3 linked regions of the Oryctolagus cuniculus genome follow. The protein of the gene in region 1 interacts with the protein of each later gene in a pairwise test. Links are inferred from orthologs where the notes say so. Each region holds a gene or a part of one and is shown in the gene's direction. Other genes may lie near its edges.

What was found. The genes of interacting proteins can lie anywhere in the genome.
Region 2: the proteins of ENKD1 (region 1) and MIPOL1 interact in binary tests that used the Homo sapiens proteins (3 or more experiments, as listed by UniProt). The two-hybrid records come from large-scale screens. The link is inferred for Oryctolagus cuniculus from reciprocal best matches to the Homo sapiens genes ENKD1 and MIPOL1.
Region 3: the proteins of ENKD1 (region 1) and UBXN11 interact in binary tests that used the Homo sapiens proteins (3 or more experiments, as listed by UniProt). The two-hybrid records come from large-scale screens. The link is inferred for Oryctolagus cuniculus from reciprocal best matches to the Homo sapiens genes ENKD1 and UBXN11.

What each region holds. Positions count from the first base shown.
Region 1 is NC_091449.1:50,904,628-50,910,917, reverse strand, and holds ENKD1 (enkurin domain-containing protein 1), read left to right. Parts: upstream 1-641; 5' UTR 642-742; intron 743-890; 5' UTR 891-905; coding exon 906-990; intron 991-1,081; coding exon 1,082-1,249; intron 1,250-1,652; coding exon 1,653-1,825; intron 1,826-3,946; coding exon 3,947-4,072; intron 4,073-4,178; coding exon 4,179-4,342; intron 4,343-4,442; coding exon 4,443-4,579; intron 4,580-4,666; coding exon 4,667-4,827; 3' UTR 4,828-5,019; downstream 5,020-6,290. Other genes in the region: C18H16orf86 (uncharacterized protein C16orf86 homolog), read right to left, coding at 1-112, 310-405; PARD6A (partitioning defective 6 homolog alpha), read right to left, coding at 5,315-6,069, 6,284-6,290. UniProt on the Homo sapiens protein: Microtubule-binding protein which regulates microtubule organization and stability. Promotes the stability of astral microtubules and facilitates the proper orientation of the mitotic spindle.
Region 2 is NC_091443.1:38,297,743-38,305,454, reverse strand, and holds part of MIPOL1 (mirror-image polydactyly gene 1 protein), read left to right. Parts: intron 1-4,463; coding exon 4,464-4,695; intron 4,696-4,752; exon of another isoform or gene 4,753-6,042; coding exon of another isoform or gene 6,043-6,056; intron 6,057-6,971; coding exon 6,972-7,107; intron 7,108-7,712.
Region 3 is NC_091438.1:145,180,366-145,188,077, forward strand, and holds part of UBXN11 (UBX domain-containing protein 11), read left to right. Parts: intron 1-1,307; coding exon 1,308-1,408; intron 1,409-1,811; coding exon of another isoform or gene 1,812-1,863; coding exon 1,864-1,918; intron 1,919-2,274; coding exon 2,275-2,351; intron 2,352-4,956; coding exon 4,957-5,083; intron 5,084-7,712. UniProt on the Homo sapiens protein: May be involved in the reorganization of actin cytoskeleton mediated by RND1, RND2 and RND3. Promotes RHOA activation mediated by GNA12 and GNA13.

The sequences.
Region 1 (6,290 bases):
CTCGTTCCTGGAGCTCTGGCTCTGAGGCATGTCCTCTTGGACACCTGTCTGCACCTGGGGTCCTGCAGGCCTCGTAGGCTGGCTCCAGGCACTGAGCTTCCATCACTGGGCACTAGAAGTGACACATAGGCAACTGGTCACCATGGTTAGGTAGAGTCTATAGCCATAAGTCAGCTGGTGCCCAGCATTAGCCACCAAACACGGGGTGGAGGGCACCAGCCCATGCCCAGCCCCAGCTTGGTCATCCGGAGTCCGGTCCCCCAGTGTGGCACGGCCAGGGTGTGAAGGCTTCACAGCCTTGGCCATCACCTCAGAGCGGCCACTGGGTGCCTTCACGAGCTGTGCCGGCCCCACGGCCACCCCTTCCTGGGCTCCTGGCGGCCTCTCCGCCCCTGCCGAGGCCATGGCTGCGCGGGGTCAACGCGTCCTCGCCGGTTACCTACGGAGAGAAGGGAGACGAGCCATGAGGGGCTGCACTGGTGGGCCCTGAGCTGACCACAGAGACTGGCTGGGAAGCGAGCTGCGAAGGGAAATTGGTGGTCGCCCCACCTGCCCTCGGCTGGAACTACAAGCCCCAGAAGGCCTTGCGCCAGGGTCACTGCCCCTGACCTCAGGGACGGAAGCCATTCGTTGCCTGGCAACAGCAACTCCCTTCGCGGTGCTGCAGCTGGCGGCAAAACTGCTAGAGTGAGCCGGGCTCGGGGGTTACCGGGAAGAGGCCGCGAACCCCGAAGGGACGTGGGTTAGCGGCGGGGCGGGAGACGAAGGGGGCCGGGAATGGGGGGCACTGCCATGGTCTGGGTCTAGGTGGAGGGAGGAGGCGCAGGGCTGGGGAAGGGAGTCCCGGGCGGGAGGTGCACAGCCTGGCAGGCCTCGGTGCACCGTTGCAGGGCGTCGAGGACAGCATGTGCGAGGGCCCGTCCCGCATCTCGGGGCCCATCCCCCCAGACCCCACGCTCTGCCCAGACTACTACCGGCGGCCGGCCTCAGGTGAGTCGGGGGTGCTGCGGAGGGGGCAAGGCCCGGGATCGCCTGCCGCTCCACCGCTGAGCTCCGCACTCGGCCCTGTCCCGCCCCTCAGCCCAGGGCCGCCTCGAAGGAAACGCGCTGAAGCCGGACGCCACCCCACCCCGCGGGCCCCGCATCAGGCCCGGAGGCCGAGAGATCTTGGAGCGTGGCTGGCGAGGCGTAGGGGGCGTGCTGCTGCAGCTCGAGGGCATCTCCCTCAGTCCGCGGGTCTCGCCCAAGAGTAAGTCCGGCAGAAGGGGCAGTGAGGCAGTTGGAAATCAAAAGCGGCTGTCCCTTCCCTGACCTGGGCCCAGGCTTTGCCTCTCTTGAGCGTCAGTTTCCCGCGGGAGGGAACCTCATTAATTCATGCATCAAAACGTGTTTCCTGTGTGGCAGGCCTTGTGGGTGCCAGGAAAGCAGGGTCGTAGGCAAGGTGGGAGGCAGTAAGTGAAGACATGAGGCGATCCAGGGTATTTACTGAAAAAATACAGAAAATAACGAGGGGAGATTTACATGCAGGCAGGGGAGCGAGGGGAGGTCTGGTGTGTAGACAGCGTCTGGCAGACACAGAAACCGGGAGATCTTTCTGGAGAGGGCGGGCAGGGAGCTGGTCAGGGCAGAGCCTGGGAGCACCTTTCCCCCAGGGAAGGACCCTAAAGACCATGAGAAGGAGAACCTGAGGCGGATCAAGGAGATCCAGAGACGCTTCCGGGAGCAGGGCCACGGCCGGGAGCAGGGCCAGCCCCAGCCGCTGAAGGCTCTGTGGCGCTCACCCAAGTATGACAAGGTGGAGTCTCGAGTCAAGGCCCAGCTGCAGGTACCCGCCCCAAGGAGCCGAACCCTGGCCTGCACTGTGGGGAGGGAGGCACCTGATGCTGTCATGGCGTGGGGCTGGGGTCACTTCTCAGAAGTGGTCATGGCTATGCTGGTCATGAATGGCAAGTAGGGATTGGGCAAGGGGAGAGTAGTATAGAATATTCCAGAAAGAGGGCGGGCGTGTGGCCTAGTGGTGCAAACGCTGGTTCGGAAGCCTGTATTCCACATCAGGGTGGGTGCTGGGTTCCGTCCCCAGCTGCGGCTCTTTGACCCCAGGGAGGCAGTGGTGAAGGCTGCTCCACCTGAGGGACGTGGGTCGCACTCCTGGTGCCCAGCCTCAGTCATTACAGGCACCTGGGGAGTGAACCAGGCAATGGGAGCTCCGTCTCTCTGCCTCAGGAAAGGAAAAGAAAAAAAAAGCAAAGTGTAATTAAAAGAAAAAAAAATAAAGAACATGCCACAGAGATGGAACCTCACAGGCGGGAGTCCGGAGACCAGCGGGAGCAGGCAGTGAAGGTGCCAGGTTCTCTGCTAGCAGTGTGGCTCCCACTGGGAGAGGGGAAAAGCATGAGGTTAGGCCAGGAAGTCAGCCGGAGCTACGTCATAAAGGACCCCCAAGCCGCTTCCCTTTTTTTCTCCCTCCTCCCCTCCCTTGCTCTCTTTCTCCACTTCTTCCTTCCTCCTCCTTTCCGAGAACCAGAGCGCTCCCATGTGCTGGGTCACTCTCCGAATGCCCACAGTGGCCAGGCCAGGAGCCATCACCACTGCCTCCCAGTGTCTGCATTAGCAGGAAGCTGGGGTCAGCAGCCAGAGCTGGGGATGGAACCTAGGCACTCTGATGTGGAACATGGGGTCTTAACTGTCTAAGCCACTTTCTGGAAAAATTGGATTTATTTGACAGAGAATGCTAGATCCTCCATCCATTGGTTCACTCCACAAATGCCTGCAACAGCTGAGGCTGGGCCAGGCTGAAGCCAGGAAACCAGAACTGAATCCCATATGGGTGGCAGGGACTCAAGTACTTGACCATCACCTGCTACACACACACACATACACAAACATACACACACACAACCCCACACACACCCCAGGATGTATATTAGCAGGAACCTGGAATGAAAAGTGGAGCCCAGACTGGAACCCAGGCACTCTGATAGGGGATGCAGGCATCCTAAGCAATGCCCTTTTTTAATGATTATGGTATTTTCAAAAATGACTGCTTATTTTCATTTACTTGAAAGGCAGATTGAGATATAGAGACAGAAACAAAGGGAGCTTCCATCCTGTGGCTGGGACTGGGCCAGGCAGAAGCCAGGAACCTGGAACTCCATCTGGGTTTCCCTAGTAGAAGGCAGGGTCCCAAGCCCTTGAGCCATCATCTGCTGGCTCTCAGGGTGCAACAGCAGGGAGCTGGACTGGAAGTGAGCAACCAGGACTTCAGCTGGCAGTCTGATATGGGATGCCGACATCTCAAGCGGCAGCTTAACCCACTACACCACCATGGCCACCCCACAGGCAGGGTCTTCACTGCTGTGCCAAATGCCCACCCCGAAGACACTTTTCAAACGCTTACTTTGAGGACAGTGGAAGGGTAGGGCAGGGGTATCATGGTAGGATTTGGTCTTGCGTATATAGCGGCACCATTTTTCTACCCAAGATCTCAGAAGGATGAGCAAGTTTGAGAAAAAAAGACAAGGTCACCCGTGGATGGTCTGAGGCTGGAGCATTTGTGGGATTGCCAGGGGGTGGGATTGTGTCCAGGTAGCAGATGGACACTCAGGTCTGGATCTCAGAGTGAGACCCAAGCGTTATTGACCATCAGGCTGAGCACAAGGAAACCAAAGAAATGACCTTCTGGATTCCAGGGCCTGGAGGCCAGTCGTCCGTGACCTTGGAGGGACTACAGCCAGGAGGCACAGCTAGGAAGGAGAGCAGAGAGTGGTAGCTGGACCAGGACTGAGGTAGAAGAAAGGTGATGATGAGGAGCAGTGCCCCTTCAAGAGGGAACAGGCTTGCAGGGACGGGGAGAGAGAAGTCCCGAGTGGCAGGGACAGGGCATGCTCCTGTGGCTGGAGACCCTGACCTCAGTCTCGCTGCTCCCTCTGCTGCACCCCGCCCCCAGGAGCCTGGCCCTGCCTCTGGGACAGAGCCTGTCAACTTCCTACGGGCGCACTCCCGCTGCGGCCCTGGCCTCCCACCAACTCGTGTCCCCAGTCCCCAGCTAAGCCCACAAGGTCCCAAAACTAAGGTGAGATGATATGTAGGGGCCGGGAGGTGGTTGGACAGGGGAGGGGAGGTGGGTGCAGGGGCCCAGCAGTGCCGTCAGCCACCATCACCCTTGCTATGTCCTACAGGGGCCAGGCCTGGGTGTGGACTTCATTAGTCACAATGCACAAGCCGCCAAGAAGGCCCCCCGGCGCTATTCCCGCTCGCTGCAGGTCCTGGCACAGGTGCTGGAGCAGCAGCAGCAAGCCCAGGAGCGCTACAATGCCACACAGAAAGGCCACGTGCCCCAATAGTAGGTCCCACTAGCCGAGCCTCAGGGTAAAGGGTGCCTGTGGCGGGTGGAAGCCAGCTCCTGCCCTGGGGTCTTCAACCCTGAGCCTGTTCGTCCACAGCTTGTTGGAGCGCAGGGATCTGTGGCGGCGGGAGGCTGAGGCCCGCAGGCTTGGCCAGCCAGATCCCAGCATGCCCCCTGGGCACACACTCATGCCTGAGAGCCAGCGGCTGGAGACGTTGGACAGTCTGCTCCAGAGTAAGTACCAGGCGAGGAGGGGCTGGGCAGGGAACCCACAAGGGACCACGCGCCCCTGTCCAGCACTCACGCCTCTGCCCCCTGTAGGCCAGAGCCAGCTGCTGCGGGAGCTAATACTGCTGCCCGCTGGGGCAGACTCACTGAAGGCCCAGGGCCACCGTGCAGAGCTGGACCGGAAGCTCGTGCAGGTAGAGGAAGCCATCAAGATCTTTTCCCAGCCCAAAGTCTTCGTGAAGATGGATGCCTGAGCCTGTGTGGGGGTCGTGGCGAGGAGGTTCCTGCTACAGATCGCAACATGGCTGCGCAGTGCAGGGTTGGGCCCCGTTACAGGGCGGTGGGGTCGGCAGTATCTCCGGAGCACTCTTCCCAGCCACCAGTGACTACGGAAGGGCTATCCCAGCCTTGGGCCCCTTTGACAAAATTAAACTTTTTGTACGTGGTAGAGTTTCCATAAGAGCTTTTCTTACCCTGGAAATGCCAAGCCCGGCGACTCTCTGCCTGAGGACAGGACAGGTCTCCCTGCGGCCCTCATCCTGCCTCATGTTTGGAGCAGAAGCAAGTTGTGAGGTTGAGGAGGAGGCTGGGGTGGGACACAGAAGGACCATGACTGCATTCGTAGAAAACATTTAATGTTCCCCAGGCCGAGAGGGCCCTGTGAACAAGCTAGCCGCCCCCACCTTGAAGTCCCTGCCATGTCCCAGCAGCCTTGAGTGCCAAGGGGCTGATCCTTGCCTGTCAGAGGCTGAAGCCACTGCCATCTCCTCGTGTGCCGCTCCCCCAGCCAGAGCCGGCCTGCTCCCGGTCATCCAGGGAGAGCAGAGAGTTGTGGGCACCAGGAAGGAGGCAGCTGGGGTCCAAGTCCCAGCATGGGGGCCCCTGAGACAGCCCATTGGAACAGGGAGGCTGGCGGTTCTCAGTGACCAGGTCGCCGCTGTCATCGTCACTGTCTGGCTCAGCAGGCCCAGGCCGCACAGGGGAAGGCCCTGTCAGACGCCCAGAGGCCCCTCGCACCACGTTGTTGCGCTGGTTGGCAGGCTTGACAGTGACAATGAGGTTGTGGCTGTTGGCAACCATCATGTCCGTCACTTGGTCCAAGGTCTTCCCAGCCACCTCAATGCCATTGACCTCGAGGATCTCATCGCTGACCGCCAGCAGCCCTGTACTCTCAGCCAGGCCCCCACGTACCAGGCGTGAGATGAAGATGCCCGGAACCCGCTCCAGGCCCTGGGGTGCCACACGCATGCTCATGCCATCTCTGATGTAGAAGCCCAGGGGCCGGTTGGAGCCGTGCTTGTGCAGCCGCACCCGCCGGTGCGTCTCAGGCAGTAGGTCCACATCTATGACTGAGGAGACCTGGCGGAAGTCTCGGGGCAGGCTGATTAGCAGGGGAGGCCGGGTGCGCAGGGGTGCCGCGGGCCGCAGCAGGAGCCCTTTCTTGCGCCGCTGCAGAGAGTTGGAGGCAAAAGCTAGGCCAGTGGAGTCAGCTTCTGCTACAGGAGAGAGGGGGGTGCCGAGATCAGAGACCCTGCCCTCCCACATGGGCGCCTCACAGAGGGAACAGTAGCTATTTCCTACCACTTGGAGGTCAGGCCAAGGGCAGGGACTGCAGAGGGTGAAGCCTGGGCACCCTGACTCGGGACTAACCCTTACAGACCTGCTGTCAGCGTAACCCAGAGGCTGCCCACGGTACCCCATCTTCCTCACCCCGCTT
Region 2 (7,712 bases), on another chromosome or scaffold:
CTGCAAAAGGATGGCCCAAGTACTTGGGCCCCTAGCACCCATGTGGGAAACTTCAAGCTAGCCTAGAGTGGCTGTTGCTGCCACTTTTGGAGTAAACCAGTAGGTGAGAAATCTCCCTCTCCCTCTTCTCCTTGTCCCACTCCTGCTCCTGCTCTCAGTCTTTTTCCTCCTTCTCTGTTTCCTACTTTTCAAATAAATAAATAATAAAAAAATTGTCTTGAAAAATCAAAGTGCATCATGCCTATGACTTGTTCTCAAATGTTTCAGAAAAAATTTACGTGATAATGGATAATGAATAAAAAATGTGGTAAGCTGTTAATACTTGGAGAATCTATATTAAGAGTATAAAGGGGGGCTGGTGCCTTGGCTCACTTGGTTAATCCTCTGCCGGCAGCGCCGGCATCCCATGTGGGTTCTGGTCCTGGTTGCTCCTCTTCCAGTCCAGCTCTCTGCTGTGGCCCAGGAGGGCAGTGGAGGATGGCCCAAGTACTTGGACTCCTGCACCCACATGGGAGACCAGGAAGAAGCACCTGGCTCCTGGCTTCGGATCAGCGTATCTCCGGCTGTGGCAGCCATTTTGAGGGTGAACCAATGGAAGGAAGACCTTTCTCTCTGTCTCTCTCTCTCACTGTCTAACTCTATCTGTCAAAAGAAAAAAAAAAGAGTGTATAGGAATTCTTTGTACTGTTTTTTTTTTCAACTTTTCAATAAAACAACTTATTTCAAAATAAAAAAGTAAAAAGAAATGACATCTACCATCAGTTTTTGTTCACTTTTTCGTGGTCTCTGGCTTCCTTAACATGTTTCTGTAGTCATTGAATTCTTTGACATTTGGCACTCATTTCTCCTCTCCATTTCTTGTATTTCTGGATGACTTCAGTGTTTTCAGCAGTGGCACTTCCAGCACCTGATTGCTCCTCTCCAAGTACCTTCACATCAATCTGTTTCATCAACCCATTTCCAGGCAAACTACATCTTACACTTTGTCCTTACCTGATACTTATTGCAGAAAATGGCATTCATTTACAGGAGTGTCTTTCATTTCAATACAAGAGTTATACACTAGGGTTATAGAGATCATGTACATGTAAAATGCCACACATAGTAATGTTCAAATGGAATACTACAGTTTCATACTGACTTCACACACATTCTTTATTTTTCCTAAAGCTGTTCATTCACTGTAACCATTCCTGTTGTTCTTATTCTCTTCTTATTCTCAGAGTCTGTCAGCATTTTTTTTTAAAGAATTATTTTGTTTATTTGAAAGAATTACAGAGAGAGGTAGATCCAGAGAGAGAGAGGTCTTCCATTCCTCTGGTTCACTCCCCAAATGACTGCAACGGCCAGAACTGAGCCCCGAAGCCAAGAGCCAGAGCTTCCTCTAGGTCTCCCATGCAGCTGTAGGGGCCCAAGGACTTAAGCCATCTTCTGCTACTTTCCCAGGCCATAGCAGAGAGCTGGATCCGAAGAGGAGCAGCCAGGACAGAAACCAGCACCCATATGGGATGCTAGCGCTGCAGGCTGGGGCTTTAACCCACTGCGACTCAGCGCTGGCCCCATCACCATTTTGTTTACTTCACTTAACTCTAACCCTTTGGAAGTTTTATTACTTTGCATATTCCCTTTCTCTGTGGAAGCAAAAAATGTGAACATCTGACTATGTGTGGCATTTTACATGTACGTGATCTCTATAACCCTAGTATAGTCCTTACTGCATTATATTCAAGTCATTGAATCAGTTTGCAGTAATCACTGTACTGTTGAGTCCTTAAGGGGAATATCTGTTGCTTGCTTATCTTTGTTTCCCTAGTACCTATCACAGGATAAATCACACTGTAGGTTTTCCATGAGTTATCATTAAAATATTGAATAAATTTGATAGAAGAGTTAAACTTTTGATACGAAATAATTAAATATTGGTAGAGGATAATGTAGTATTACTGAGAAGGACTGCATTGAGAACCTTCAGAAGATTTTATTTTGTTTTATTTTATTTTTATTTTTATTTTTATTTGAAAGGTAGAGTTATAGACAAAGAGAAAGGTCTTCATTCTGTTGGTTTACTCCCCAAATGGCTGCCATGGCCGGCGCTGTGCCAATCATAAGCCAAGAGCCAGGTTCCTCTTCCTGGTCTCCCACGTGGATGCAGAGACCCAAGCACTTAGGCCATCCTCCACTGCCCTCCTGGGCCACAGCAGAGAGCTGGACAGGAAGAGGAGCAACCTGGATTAGAACCCGGCGCCCATATGGGATGCTGGTGCCACTGGTGGAGGATTAACCAAGTGAGCCACAGTACTGGCCCAAGAAGATTTTAACTCTAATTTGCTAAAATTATACTTGTCAAAATAGTTTTTTTAAAAAAAGTCAGGAAAATTTTATGAATCAGCCTTTTTTAATATAAGGTGAAATTATATTCTCAGTAGAGAATATGCAGAATGTGATTTATAAAAGTCTTTAAATGTCTGATGAACAGTTCAGAATAAAGCCCTAAAAGATTTTTCTACTGATGGCTGGTGTTGTGGCACAATGGGTGAATGTGTTGCTTGGATGCCTGTATCTAGTATCAGAGTGCTTCATGTGAGGCCATGCTACTCTAGCTTTTCATTCGGCACTCTGCTCATGCATTTGGAAGGCAGTGCATGATGGTGCATGTATTTGGGTCCCTGCTACCCCTGTCAGAGACTTGGATGGAGATCTTGGCTCCTGGTTTCAGCAATGCCTAGTTTTGGCTATTACAGGTATTTGGGGAATGAGTTAGCAAAAGGAGGATCTTCTGTTTCTCTGTCTCTCTCTCTTGTTTCACTCTTGTCACTCTGCCTTATAAATAACAAATAATTATTTTAAAAAAAGCTTTTACTGATGAATAAAATTAGAGATACCCAAAGACAGAGCCTAATCACACAGTACAGGTTCTTTAAAAATACTTTAAAATTAAGAGTTTAAAATTTTAGAATTTGCTTTTTGAAAAGTTCAAGGGCCGTCCCTGTGGTCCAGTGGACTAAAGCCCCAGCCTGAAGTGCTGGCATTCCATGTGAGCCCCAGCTGTTCCGCTTCCTATCCAGCTCACTGCTATGGCCTGGAAAAGCAGTGGAGGATGGCCCAACTCCCTGGGCCCCTGCACCCACATAGGAGACCCAGAGGAGGCTTCTGGCTCCTGGCTTCGGATTATCTCAGCTCTGGCCATTGCGGTCGTTTGGGGAGTGAACTAGCAGAATGGAGGACCTCTCTCTCTCTCTCTCTCTGTCTCTCTCTGGCTCTACCTCTCTCTAACTCTTTCAAATAAAAAAATTAAAATAAAATAATTCTTTAAAAAAAACTTCAAGATTATTTCTGCTAGAAATAATGAAATGATAATTGCAATCACCATTTGTGCTGTTGATCTAATGTACTAGTAAAAAAGTTATGTGTGCATGTATGATTTTTCTCCCAGAAACCATACTATGCTTTGAAATGTGCACTACTCCTTTGAAACAGATTATATTTACTAGTGGTAACTTAAAAATAAGTTGTGTGATATATCCAGATATTATTCTCTAATTTGAGAGTACTTCACCAATGATGTGTAAATAAAAGTATGAGGAGCTTTTTTCCTTGGCACAATTTTTTTTATATCCATGCATGATTTTTTCAGAATTTGTATTTTCTGTGTATTGTGGAAAAACTTTTGCATGAAAATGAGCTCATACTTTTAATTCCATTTTTCATGAATTTTTTGCAGTATACTCGTGCATGGTACATACCTGATAAAATGAGGGTTAGAAATAATTATTATATTCTATACATTTTCATGTTGTGATGCTTAGAAAAATAGCAGCTAATGTTTATTAATGTGTCAGGTCCTAGACCAAGTACTTCGCATGTATTAGTTGAGTCCTCACAACAACTCAGTGAAATAGATGACGTTATAGTTCCCTTTTATGAACAAGAAACTGAAGCATGGAAAGGTTAAGTAACCAGCCCAAAGCTATGCATTTGGTAGAGCTGAAGTTCTAACCCACGCAGTCATAACCACCATTCCATGTACATTATCATTTTCCTATGACCCTTAACTTACTGTATCTAGAAAACAGTACATCTCTCAACCAGTGGTTTTCAATCTTAAATGTATACTGAAATCATCTATAGTGAGCTTAAAATATAAAGATTGGGTCCTAATCCCAGAGATTCTGATTTTATTAAAATAGGGTGTGGTATGGGTTTAAGATATTTTTGACTCCTTACATTATTCCAATGTGCAACATTGTCAGTTACAATCATAAGTGTCTATTGACTTTGGAAATAGGAATATTGATGGCAACAACCACTCTGTACATGCTTATCCAATTATAGTAGGAGTAAGATTGGTAAGTGTATATTTAAAGTTTTAGGACTATTCAGAAAAAACTATTCATTACTATTCATTTGTATTTAATAAGCAGCTATGGTGTCTCATATATCATGTTATGTTTGTTTAAATACAGATATAGCCCACATTTATCCTGAGCAAGAAACTGCAGGGAGAAATAAAAGTGCACAGTCAGATGAGCAACTGACTATGAATTCCAAGGGAAGCATGCATCAGAAATCCAATGAATTCATAAATGAAGTCCCATACGAGGACACGAAACTGCTAGGGCAGAGTTCAAGGAATTTTCAGATCATCAGTCCTTATCCAGATGATGCGACAGCTTACTGCACTACTGAAAAATGCAAGTGAGTGCTAGCAGCCTGAGATTTAGAAACAGAATTGGGAGAACTTTCTCTTCCTCCCTACCTCCTTCCCTTCCTTTCTTTCTCTGTTTCTTTCTGGTGTGGATTAAATTTGACATGTCATTAACTGACTAGAAGTTGGGATCTTTCCTAGCACTATTTCCATAATAATGATATACTGTGCCTAGTTAGCTAAGTGAAAAAGCACAAGGTGAGTATGAAGGAAAGTGATGAGATTTTATACTTTGTTCAGTATTTCTTTGATATTACATTATAGATGTAGAAATGACTGTTCAGTTAATATAAAAGTATTGTTGCTCAGGAGAGAAAAGCTAGCAGCTCCAGGATAAATTAAACCCCAAAATGTGTTTTGGTTTGGGTTACTACTGTTTTTCATTTAAGTGAATTTTAATACTTTTAGAAGAGTCTTGTTCTCTACCATATGCATTTCCTTATTACTTTACATTCTGTATTTTTTCCATTCACCTTGCCTACCTATCTCATGAAGGGATTTGGACTTTGTGATTAATGTACTTTGATAGCCATGGGCTATGAAAATATTATGTTTTTAAATTTCAGTGATTAATTTTCATTCTAGACAAAATATTTTCTGGAATAATTTCTGACAGTTTTGCATATAAACTGCTATTTCTATGTGCTTATAGATTATTTAGTAGATGTATTAATGAATACTAATATAATGCTATAATATTTTGGTTTGTTCCTCTCCCTCAGCAATCAGTTAGATTCTTGCTGCTCCTCTGCACGCGGAGGAGCCGCACCGGACCGGACGCTTGTTGTTCCCTTTTTTTTACAAGTCCTTTCTATAGTAAAGTAAGAATAAGTAAACAGCAAACTCCCAAAGCAAGAATGAGTAGAGAGAAATGAGAAAGAACGAAGTAACGAACTTCCCCGCGAACTCTCCAACGCACTCTCCAACCAACCCACACCACCATGCCGTCTCTCTCCTCCTATATAGTCCTCTCCACCAATCCGTGCTCTGCTACCCACACGCCGAGCGCGCCACTCTCCTCCAATCAGGAGCGGCTCTTGCAGCTTGTCAAGTTGGTGAGAGGCAGCTGGGTAGAAGCTGTATGCTCCTCTCCCACCGCCACATTGTGGGAGAGCAGATGCATAGAATAAGTCTTAATTCCAGTAACAGTATAGTCCGAGTTGCTCCCCACAGATTTTTACAGAGGTTCAGATTGGAGTACATTTGTGGTGGGGGAGAGGGCAGATAAAGGTAGAGATAAGTGAAAAAGAGATAAACATCTTTATAACCACATGGGGAAAATAAATAGTAGAACTTGGGCTAAACCTGAATTATGAGACTTATAATATGTTGACAACATGGAATATATAAGGTGAGTAGAGTTGTACTAATTGTCAGAGACCTCAATGCTTTCAAAAAATAGCCTATGTCTTTTCCCTTCCTTTCCTTATTAACACTTCCTTACAAGGTGATATTATTCTCAATAGATAAAACGTAAAAAAATTTTGTTTTAACTTACCCTTAAATATTACATGAATAGCTTTTCATTTTTAATGTTTTTGATTTAAAAATGAAAATATATTCTTTCAAAAAATTCTTTAAAATTATCTGATTATTACTCCCATTTTTAGAAAAGTGAGTAATGTATCTAGAACCCCAAACAACAGTATAAAACCTGAATTGTTTCTATAAGATTTACCTATTTATTATGAAAGAGTTATAGAAAGAGGAAGAGACAGAGAAATACTTTCTATCTCCTGGTTCCCTCCCCAAGTGGCTGCAACACCAGGCCTGGGCCAGGCTAAGTCAGGAGCATCTTCTGAATTTCCACCCGTGGGTGGACAAGCCCAGGTACTTGGACCATCTTCTGCTACATTCTCAGGCAATTAGTAGGGAGCTGGTTCAGAAGTGGGAAAGCCAGGTCTCCAACTGGTACCCATATGGAATGCTGGTGTCACAGGTGGTGGCTTTCCCTGCTGAGTCACAACGGTGGCTTCTAATGCCTGAATACTTTAAGTATACTTAACCATGAATCTGTCAGACATCACTAAATACTTTCTTTAAATTTAACTCTCTCAGTTGATAAATTGGCATTTTTCTGTGAAATTGATATATTTATTCTCTTTAATCAATCATATTTTCTCCATAGTACATATAAAGAGAAATTTAAGATCTGATATCTTTTCATATTTGTTGTTAAAATTAAATGTTGCTATTTGAAATATAAAATTTATAGATATTGTACAGTAGAAATCCTATGTATATATTGTTCATTTTTTTATTACAGCATTACAGAACACAAAAATGATGACTTGCATTATGGATATATGATTCCTTGTCAAGTTACTTCAGATGTAAATAAAGAAAAGACAATAGCATTTCTTCTCAAAGAATTGGATATTCTCAGAACAAGCAATAAAAAGGTATAATATAGAAAGTCTGATAGTTATACAGTATACTTTGAGCTGTTGACCTTCTAAATTTTCTTTGTTGCCTGTCATAATTCAGTTTTGTTGGGTCTTGCAATCAACAGCAGCTTTCTGTTGTTGCTGTCCTTTGCTGTCTGGGCATAATTAAGGGACTGGCTATGAAAATTAATTATTTTGGTTCCTGCCTTGCTAGTCAGTGATATCACTTCCTTTTTATTAAGCTTTCATTGCCTTATGTAGGTACCTAAAAAAATAGATTTGTTTGAATTTTACTATCGTAAAACTTTTTTCTTCAGCACTGTGGAGAATGAGAAACATGCCCTCCTTTCATGTTACTATCTTCACTTTTCTTCTTTCTTTATTAGTATCAGTGCCCTGTATTTCACCTCAGTGATATATGTAATTAAACACTAAAGTAGCAAATCTTAGCCAATGTTGTCATTTACCTTGTGTTATCTTGTTGCAGTTTATCCATTCCAATTTGTCATGTCATGTTTTACCTTCTTTTATGAATTTTATTCTAGTTACAGTCCTGTGAGCATTAAATATAAATAGTGTTCTTAAATAATGTTCATTTTATTTGTCTTCTTTTTTTTTAA
Region 3 (7,712 bases), on another chromosome or scaffold:
CCAGCTCTCTGCTAAGGCCTGGGAAAGCAGTGGAAGATGGCCCAAGTGCTTGGGCCCCTACACCCACGTGGGAGGCCCGGAAGAAGCTCCTGGCTCCTGGCTTTGGATCCACCCAGCTCCAGCCTTTTTGGCTGTTTGGGGAGTGAACCAGTGGATGGAGGACCTCTTAGTCTCTGTCTCTCACTCTTTCTCTGTAACTTCACCTTTTGAATAAAATAAATACATTAATTAATTTTAAAAATCTATATATATAAATGACGTTGACTTTTTAAAAGTTTTTTCTGTTTGTTTGAAAGGCAGAGTTAGAGAGAGACAGATCTTCCATCTACTAGTTCATCCCCAAAATGACTGCAACAGCTGGGCCTGAGGGCCAGGACAAAGCTAGGAGCCAGGAGCTTCATCTGAGTCTCCCACATTGGTGGCAGGGACCCAAACACTTGGGCCATCTCCCACTGCCTTCCCAGGTGCATTAGCAAGGCGCTGGATCAGAAGTGGAGCAGAGGCCAGCGCTGTGGCATAGTAGGCTAAGCCTCTACTTGCAACGCTGGCATCCAGTATGAGTGCCGGTTTGTGTCCAGCTGCTCCCCTTCTGATCCAGCTCTCTGCTGTGGCCTGGGAAAGCAGTGGAGGATGGCCCAAGTGCTTGGGCCCCTGCACCTGCGTGGGAGACTGGAAGAAGCTCCTGGGTCCTGGCTCCTCGCTTTGGATTGGCTCAGCTCTAGCCATTGCGGCCATTTGGGGAGTGAGCCAGCGGATGGAGACCTTTCTCTCTGTAACTCTGCCTCTCAAATAATAAATAAAATCTTAAAAGAAAAAAAAGTGGAGCAGCCAGGACTCCAACTGGCACCCACATGGGGTGCTGGCGCTGCAGGCAGGAGCTTAACCCACTGCACCACAGCGCCGGCCCCAACACTGACTTTCTCAAAACCCCCAGGCACCCGTGCAGCAGCGCGTGCCGCCTTGCACATTCGTCTGAGGTTTGCCTCGACCCCCGCGCTGTTCTGTTGCCTGCAAACGGGAGCTTGGATGTTAGGGTTGGATTAGGTTGAGGATGGCCTTTCTGGCAACACTATGGGGTGAGGTGGCCCGTGTGTCACCGCTCGCTTGTACACCGTGGTCACATGACGGCCTCAGTGCCTCAGTCTCCTGAAGCAGCTCATTGGCCTCACAGGTGTGTTGCGAGGATCTGTGAGCTGGTCCAGATAGAGTTCAGAACAGCACGTGTTGTGGGAGCGTGGGCCGCTGTTAGGGCATCCTGGACCCCCCAGAGCCCAGCCTGGGCTCAAAAGACTTGGTCCACTTGGCAGGCGCTGTATCCCATGACTCCGAGGCGTTGGCCTCCGTGGCCAAGCAGCTATGGGACCTGGAACGGCTGGTGAAGGCCCAGGCTGATGAGATGCTGTCCAAGGTGAGGCCCCAGGTGGGAGAGAGCCAGGGGCTGGGCTGAGAGGTGGCAGGCCCAGGCCGGGAAGCCAGGGGCCAGCAGTGGGACCAGGGCAGAGGGGTTTGGTGACCGTCTCCCCACTCAGCAGCCCAGTGTGATGGCCGGGTGTGGGCCCCGCTCAGCTGGGGCCCAGTGACTGAACAGAGAGGCTGGGGGCTTCTCCGTAGCTGAGCAGGGCCCAGGTGACCTTGGCCTGGGTGGAGTCGGCGCTCTCGGTGTGGGCTGTGCCTTTCCCCACCTCAGCAGTGCTGCAGGGGTGGCCTGCGGCACAGGAGCAGCGGGTGTGCCAAGTGTTGGCAGAGGCAGGACCTTTGTGCTCCCCAGGGCCCCCCCACAGGCACAACCTCTGCATCTTCCTACCCGGAAGGCGGCTGGGGAAGCGCCGGGCCTTGCGCTCACCCTAGGCCTCGCTGCTGCAGGATCAGAAGATACTGGCCCTGGAGGACTTGGTGAAGACCCTCCAGCAGCACCAAGGTAAGAGGCCCTCCTGGGGGCTGATCCCCCGGTCGGGACCTCCCTTGGCCCTGTGCCCCTGGGTGGGAGCGTAGGTGGTGAGCAGCAAGCTACTCCCTGGTGGGTCTGGAGAGCTGAGCCAGAGCTCGGCGCCGACAGCTGGAGTCAGAGTGCCCTGAAGGTAGCTGCACTACCCAGAGCGTGGTGGAGCCACAGCACTGAGGGGCGAGGCAGGGTGCCCTCAGGGGAGCGGGGAGAGAGGGCAGAGATAGAGGGGGTCCCCTGCAGGTGGTTCCTCAGGGCCCCAGATGGCCCTCAGGGCAGAGGTGGCCTGGAAGCTGGAACAGCCAGACCCCATCCCCATCTCCCCACCAAAGGCGAGGCCTCCCAGCAGCGGCAGGAGGAGCTGGAGACGATGTGCGCGCAGCTGCAGCGGCAGGTCGGGGAGATGGAGGTGAGGGCGGGCCCGGGGACGCAGCAGTCCGCAGCCCGCAGCCCCAGCTCCAGGCTGTCTGCCCCTTGGGACGGGGCCAGCACCTACTTCTCTGGGCCCCTCCACACCAAGCCTCCCCCTGGGGGCCCTGCCCCGTGAATTAACCCCGAGTTCACAGAGCCACAAGTGTCCAGGGCTCACCCTGTGAGTCTGAACCGCCCTAAGCACACCCCGCTTGCCTCCTTGGCCTCGGGGCTCCCGGCTGGGCTCAACGCCAAGGGCCTCCCTGGCCCCTGCTGATTCTTTGAACACGCCCAGTCTGTCCCGCCTCGGGACCCTGGCCCATTGCTGTTCCCTGGCCTGCAGTGTTTTTCCTTCCTGCCCCAGCCCTGTCCTGTGCTTTCTCAGTACCTCCCTTCTCTGCCGTGGACTGTGAACTCCGGGGCGGGCCACCTCCCTCCCGATCCCAATCCCCGGAGACTCATCAAGGCCATCCCCTATCTCTGCCTGTGACTTCTTCCTCCCACGCACACACCCATTCAGACTCCAAAGCTTGAACTGGAGGGGCCAGGAGCAAAGACGTGTCCCAGGTACACACACGTCCCAGGCATTCCCACCCTGCCCTGGCAGGAGCCAGCCTTCCTCTCCGAGCACAGAGTGGGTTCCTAAAACCCCAGTGGAATCCAGGGCCACAGAGGCCAACCCCAGAGCCTCAGCTGCAGCTGGGAGCACCTGTCGCTCCAGGCCTGTTGGTCCCTGGGGCTGTGGGTAAACACAGCTGCCCCCACCCCCCAGGCTGCTCCGAGCCTCTGCTGCAGGGGCTGAGAGGCTGTACCCCAGAGCCCCTGGTGGGAGGGCATCACTGGCTCTCACGAAGCAGGTGCTTAGCAGAACCCGCTGGGGGCAGCACCCTGCAGTGCCTGTTCTAGTGCCTGGTTGGAAATCTGAACAAGACAGACATGGTCCCCACCCTCAAGGGGCTGACAGCGTGGAGGGGACGAGACATTAACAAGTACATGAAAGAGACACAGAGACAGGGAGTGCTATAAGATAATCCCGTGTGTGACACACTGGAGACGGATGGGGACGAACCACTGTGGAGGTGACCTTGGCCATGAGATCTGGGGGATGAGGGGCAACCAGGGGCAGAGGACCCAGGCCAGAGACACGAAAGCCTCCCCTTCTGCCGGGTACACTTGGCTGATAGCGGTTGCTGGTCATGGGCAGCAGGAGACCAGAGGCCGGAGTGGCCCCATCACGCAGGACTCGCTGCCCGTGGTGCGCGTGGATTCCACTGGGAGGGAATGGGAGACCACTGGGGGTGTCAGAGCGACATGAGGGGAGGACCCTCCTACTGCGTGACGACGGGGACACAGGTAGAAGCCGTCTCCTGGTTGTCCAGGAGCGTGACAGTGGCCGTGGTCTGAGCTGGGAGGCAGCGCATGGGGCAAGAGGGGTCGTTCTGAGGCTGCTTGGGAGATGGCAGCCACAGGCCTTGAGGGGCATCCGGGTGTGGTGGCAGAGAGGGGAGCGGGTGCTGGATGATGCCTGGGTGGAGGGGGCGTCACTGAGACAGGACCAGGAGGTCCAGGGCATGGGGGCGGGAGCCGTGACTGTTCAGTGATTGCGAGTTGCATGGCAGGCATTAGAGTCTATGTGGTTGGAGACGGGAGTGTGGAATTCAGGCTGGGATCTGCTTTGTGGTGCAGCAGGTTAAGCTGCCGCTTGCAGTGCCAGCATCCCGTACTGGAGCGCTGGTTCAAGCCCTGGCTGCTCCACTTCTGAGCCAGCTGCCTGCTAATGCTCCTGGGAAGGCAGAGGAAGCTGGCCTAAGTACTGGGGCCCCTGCCACCCACATGCGTGACCCAGATGGAGCTCCTGGCTCCTGGCTTTAGCCCAGCCCAGTCCTGGCCGTTGTGGCCACTTGGGGAGTGAGCCAGCAGATGGAAGATTCTCTGCCTGTCAAATACATAATAAATCCTAAAAAAAAAAAAAAAAAAAAAAAAAAAAAGTCATAAGGGAGTGCTGTGGACCTGCAGTGTCGCTGTCGCTGTCGGGTGGAAATGGGGAAGCAGCAGGGGCTGGCCAAGGAGCAGCCAGGCGGGAGGAAGCCCAGCCGCTGTTGAAAGAGATGAGGACAGAGGTGCGCCCGCTGGGTTTGGCAATGGGCAGGTGGTTGGTGGCTGCACCATGAGCAGCTTCAGTGAATTGTGGGTTGAGGAAAGAAGGGGAGAAAAGGAATTGGCAACAGGAGGTGTAGACGATTGAAGTTCTGTGGCAGAGGGGAGGGAGGCCAGGCCCTGGGGAGGCCGGCGTGTGGCTGGTCCCGTCCTCAGAGCCAGGGTGTCCCCAGCCCCTCACGCTCAGGCTGACCCGCATGGCTGCCCACAGCCACAGCGGCCGGCTTTCCTGCTCAGCGCTGGATGTGAACTAGGTGCTGTGATCTCCTGAGGCTCCAGGAGGTAAAAGGCTTTCCAAGGTCACAGCCAGGAAGCAGCCACGGTCTCAGCCCATCCCCTTGTTCTGTCAGCTCTGGGGCTGAGCCTGGGGACGGAGCCAAGGCCACTCGTGCCCTGGGAAGGGACTGAGCTGGCAGTGTCCCCAGCATCACCTCCTTTCCCCACAGCGGTTCCTCAGCGACTATGGGCTGCACTGGGTGGGCGAGCCCATGGACCAGGAGGACTCCGAGGGTAACATAGCCTCAGAAGATGGCGGGAAGGCCTGGATGACAGCCAAGAAGTTCTGGAAGCCAGGTAGCCTAGAGGCTGTGCCCCAGACGCCCTCAAGGGGGATCCTCCAGCGGCTCCCAGCATGCCCCGAGGGACCCCTGACACAGCACGCGGGAAAGGCCTCAGCCTTCATCACTGACCAAGACGCACCTTGCTCTTCTGCAAGGGCCCCCGAGGCCCCCAGGGACAGGCCGTGCAGGTCCGGGCTCTGCTCTGCGGTCTGTAGATGTGTGTCATCCCCCCACCCCCCGCCACAGCTGTCAGCCTTAACCTCTGCCTGGGGCCCCCCCGCCCGTTGCCAGGGCTGGGCCCCCTCTCCAGGGTCGTTGCTGACCCGTGGACGTGACCAGCGGCCATGGGCTCAGCACTTCTCACTCTGAACGCGGCTGCTAGTGTCTCGGGGTCGCCCCACAGCCCCTTCTTCCCGAGTTTTGGCTCTGTGGAACTGGCCGTTTCTGAGAACTGGGTCTGTCCAAGGGTGGAGCTCGCTGCCCGCAAAGTCTCTGTCCAGGCCCTGAAGCCGGGCGAGCCCGGGTCCCCAGCTCCAATGCTCCACCTGTTCCCCGTGACTCGAGCAGGCGACATCTGCTCTCTGAGTAAGGGGGGGGGGGGGGCATGCACCTCCCCAGGGACTCAAAAGGGCGAGCACAGAGCGCCCAGCGCCGGAGTGCATGTTGTTTTCCCAGGCCTTGGAGAGGCTCGCGGGGACACACGCTCTGTCCTGCAGAGCCTGTTTGGGTGACCACGGCAGCCTCTTGCGTTCCTAAGCCTCCTGCTGGGTAAAGGCCCGGATTGCAAACCACATTTTTAGGCCCAGGCTTTGGCCAGTTCCTCTAACCCTCAGACACACAGCCCTCCACTGCTTGTTCCAAAAACATCACTTCTCATTTGGGTAACACTTGCAGCTTTCAAAGCTTTTTCAGAAATGGCTTCAACATGGGTCAGGAGTTGCTCCATTTTATAGATGGGCACATGGAGGCACATCAAGGTGACTTGGAAGGGGCGGGACTTAAGGGTGAGTGAGAGCCCAGCTGGAAGTGCAGTGCTCCATGCAAGGGGAGGATGGGAGGAGTCGGGTGAGCCAGGGGGCATCGCCGTGCGGAAGATGCTGAGCCCTGGCCGGACAGCAGAGCCGGGGAGCTATGCAGACAATGGCTCCCACATTCCTGACGGAACCCAGGAGTTCTCCCAGCCTGGTTAAGAGGTGAGGCCTGGGCAAGCGAGTGGGTGCAGTGCTCTTGTCACAGGTCTGGGGCCAGAGCCCGGCCACGTGCAGTGTGGGCCCCACCACCGTGTGGGCAGGCAGCCTCCTCCTAGCCAGTGGGGACCTCCCTGCTGCTGTGGGGAGCGCTCAGACCGGCCACTTGGTTTCTGGACCTGGCTCCGGGGCTCCTGCTCTCCCCAAGCCCTCTAACGGAGAGCAGCCTTCTTTCTGCACTGTTTGGTGTTGGGGCTGTGCACTGGGCTGGCTCTGAGGCTGGATGCGTGCAGGCTGCAGCCGCAGTGAGCACCGCCCACCGCCTGCTGTGGCCGCCGCAGCCGCACAGCCCCCGTCTTCCTTTCTGGTTCCTAGCATGGGAAGGGCCTTGCATTGGCCCTTAGTTTCCTGCTATGTTTTCCTCCTGAGACCTCTCCCACCTTTCTCTCTCCTTCCCCAAGGGCCCTTCTGGCCTGAGGCTCTGACTCCCCTGCTGGGTGCCCCTGCCCAAGGGCTCTGAGGCAGGGGCCAGTGGGTGGGGGAGCCGCAGGAGCTTCTCCTGGGGCCAAATGATGATTGGAATGTTCTAGAGCCTGGACCTCCTGTCAGGGGAAGAATCTGCAGGGCCCGTGAGGGGAGGGGTTGGCCTCAGGCTGGGTCAGTATCCCATCAGGGCATGTAGGCCAGGGCTGAGCCTCAGGGCTGGGAGCCCCAGTCTGAGCTGTTCCTGACCCCTCCCTCAGGCTAGGACCCCTCCTCTGAGCCACCAGCTTCTTGCTGGCCCGCCCCACATCACCACTGTTCCCGGCCAGCACCCCCCGCCACCCTCCCTCCCCCCTCCCCAGCCCTAGGCCCTTTGTCTGGGTTGGAGCCTCTTTCAAACTCCCAGCAGGGGAAGATGTCACATGAGCCGTGGCCTCTGGTCCCTGAGCCTGCATTCGGCCCCCTGCCTGGCCCACCTCCTAGCCCCTTGGCTCCTCTCCTTTGATGCTCAGCTGGAATCCGGCCTTCTCCAGCTGAGCTCTGTGCCAAGCCCTGGACTGCCGCTGGTAGCCGCCCCAGCGCTGCGTGCCAAGGGTTGGGTGCGGGTGGGTGAGGGCAGCGAGAGCCCAGCGATGAGGAAGAGGTGCTGGTGCCAGCAGCCAGCGTCTGCCGGGTACTTCCTCCCCCTCGCGCAGGGCTGTGAAGTGGGCACTGTGGGCTGCCCTCACTGGCAGAACAGGGAGCCAGGCCAGGCTGAGGAGGGGGGCCTGGCTGGGCTGCGACCCCTAACGGGCAGACTGTGTGACCTCTGGGTCTCTCCTCTGCTCTGAAGTCCGAGGTGGTGAGCAGGAATGCCAGCTCTGCTTCCCGGCTGTTAGCCCCAGGCACCCAACACAGGGCTGGCCAGTGCCCGGTGTGCCTAGGCCTGGGCCGTGACAGAGGGATGGGGTGGGGACTGGCAAGCAGCGCTCC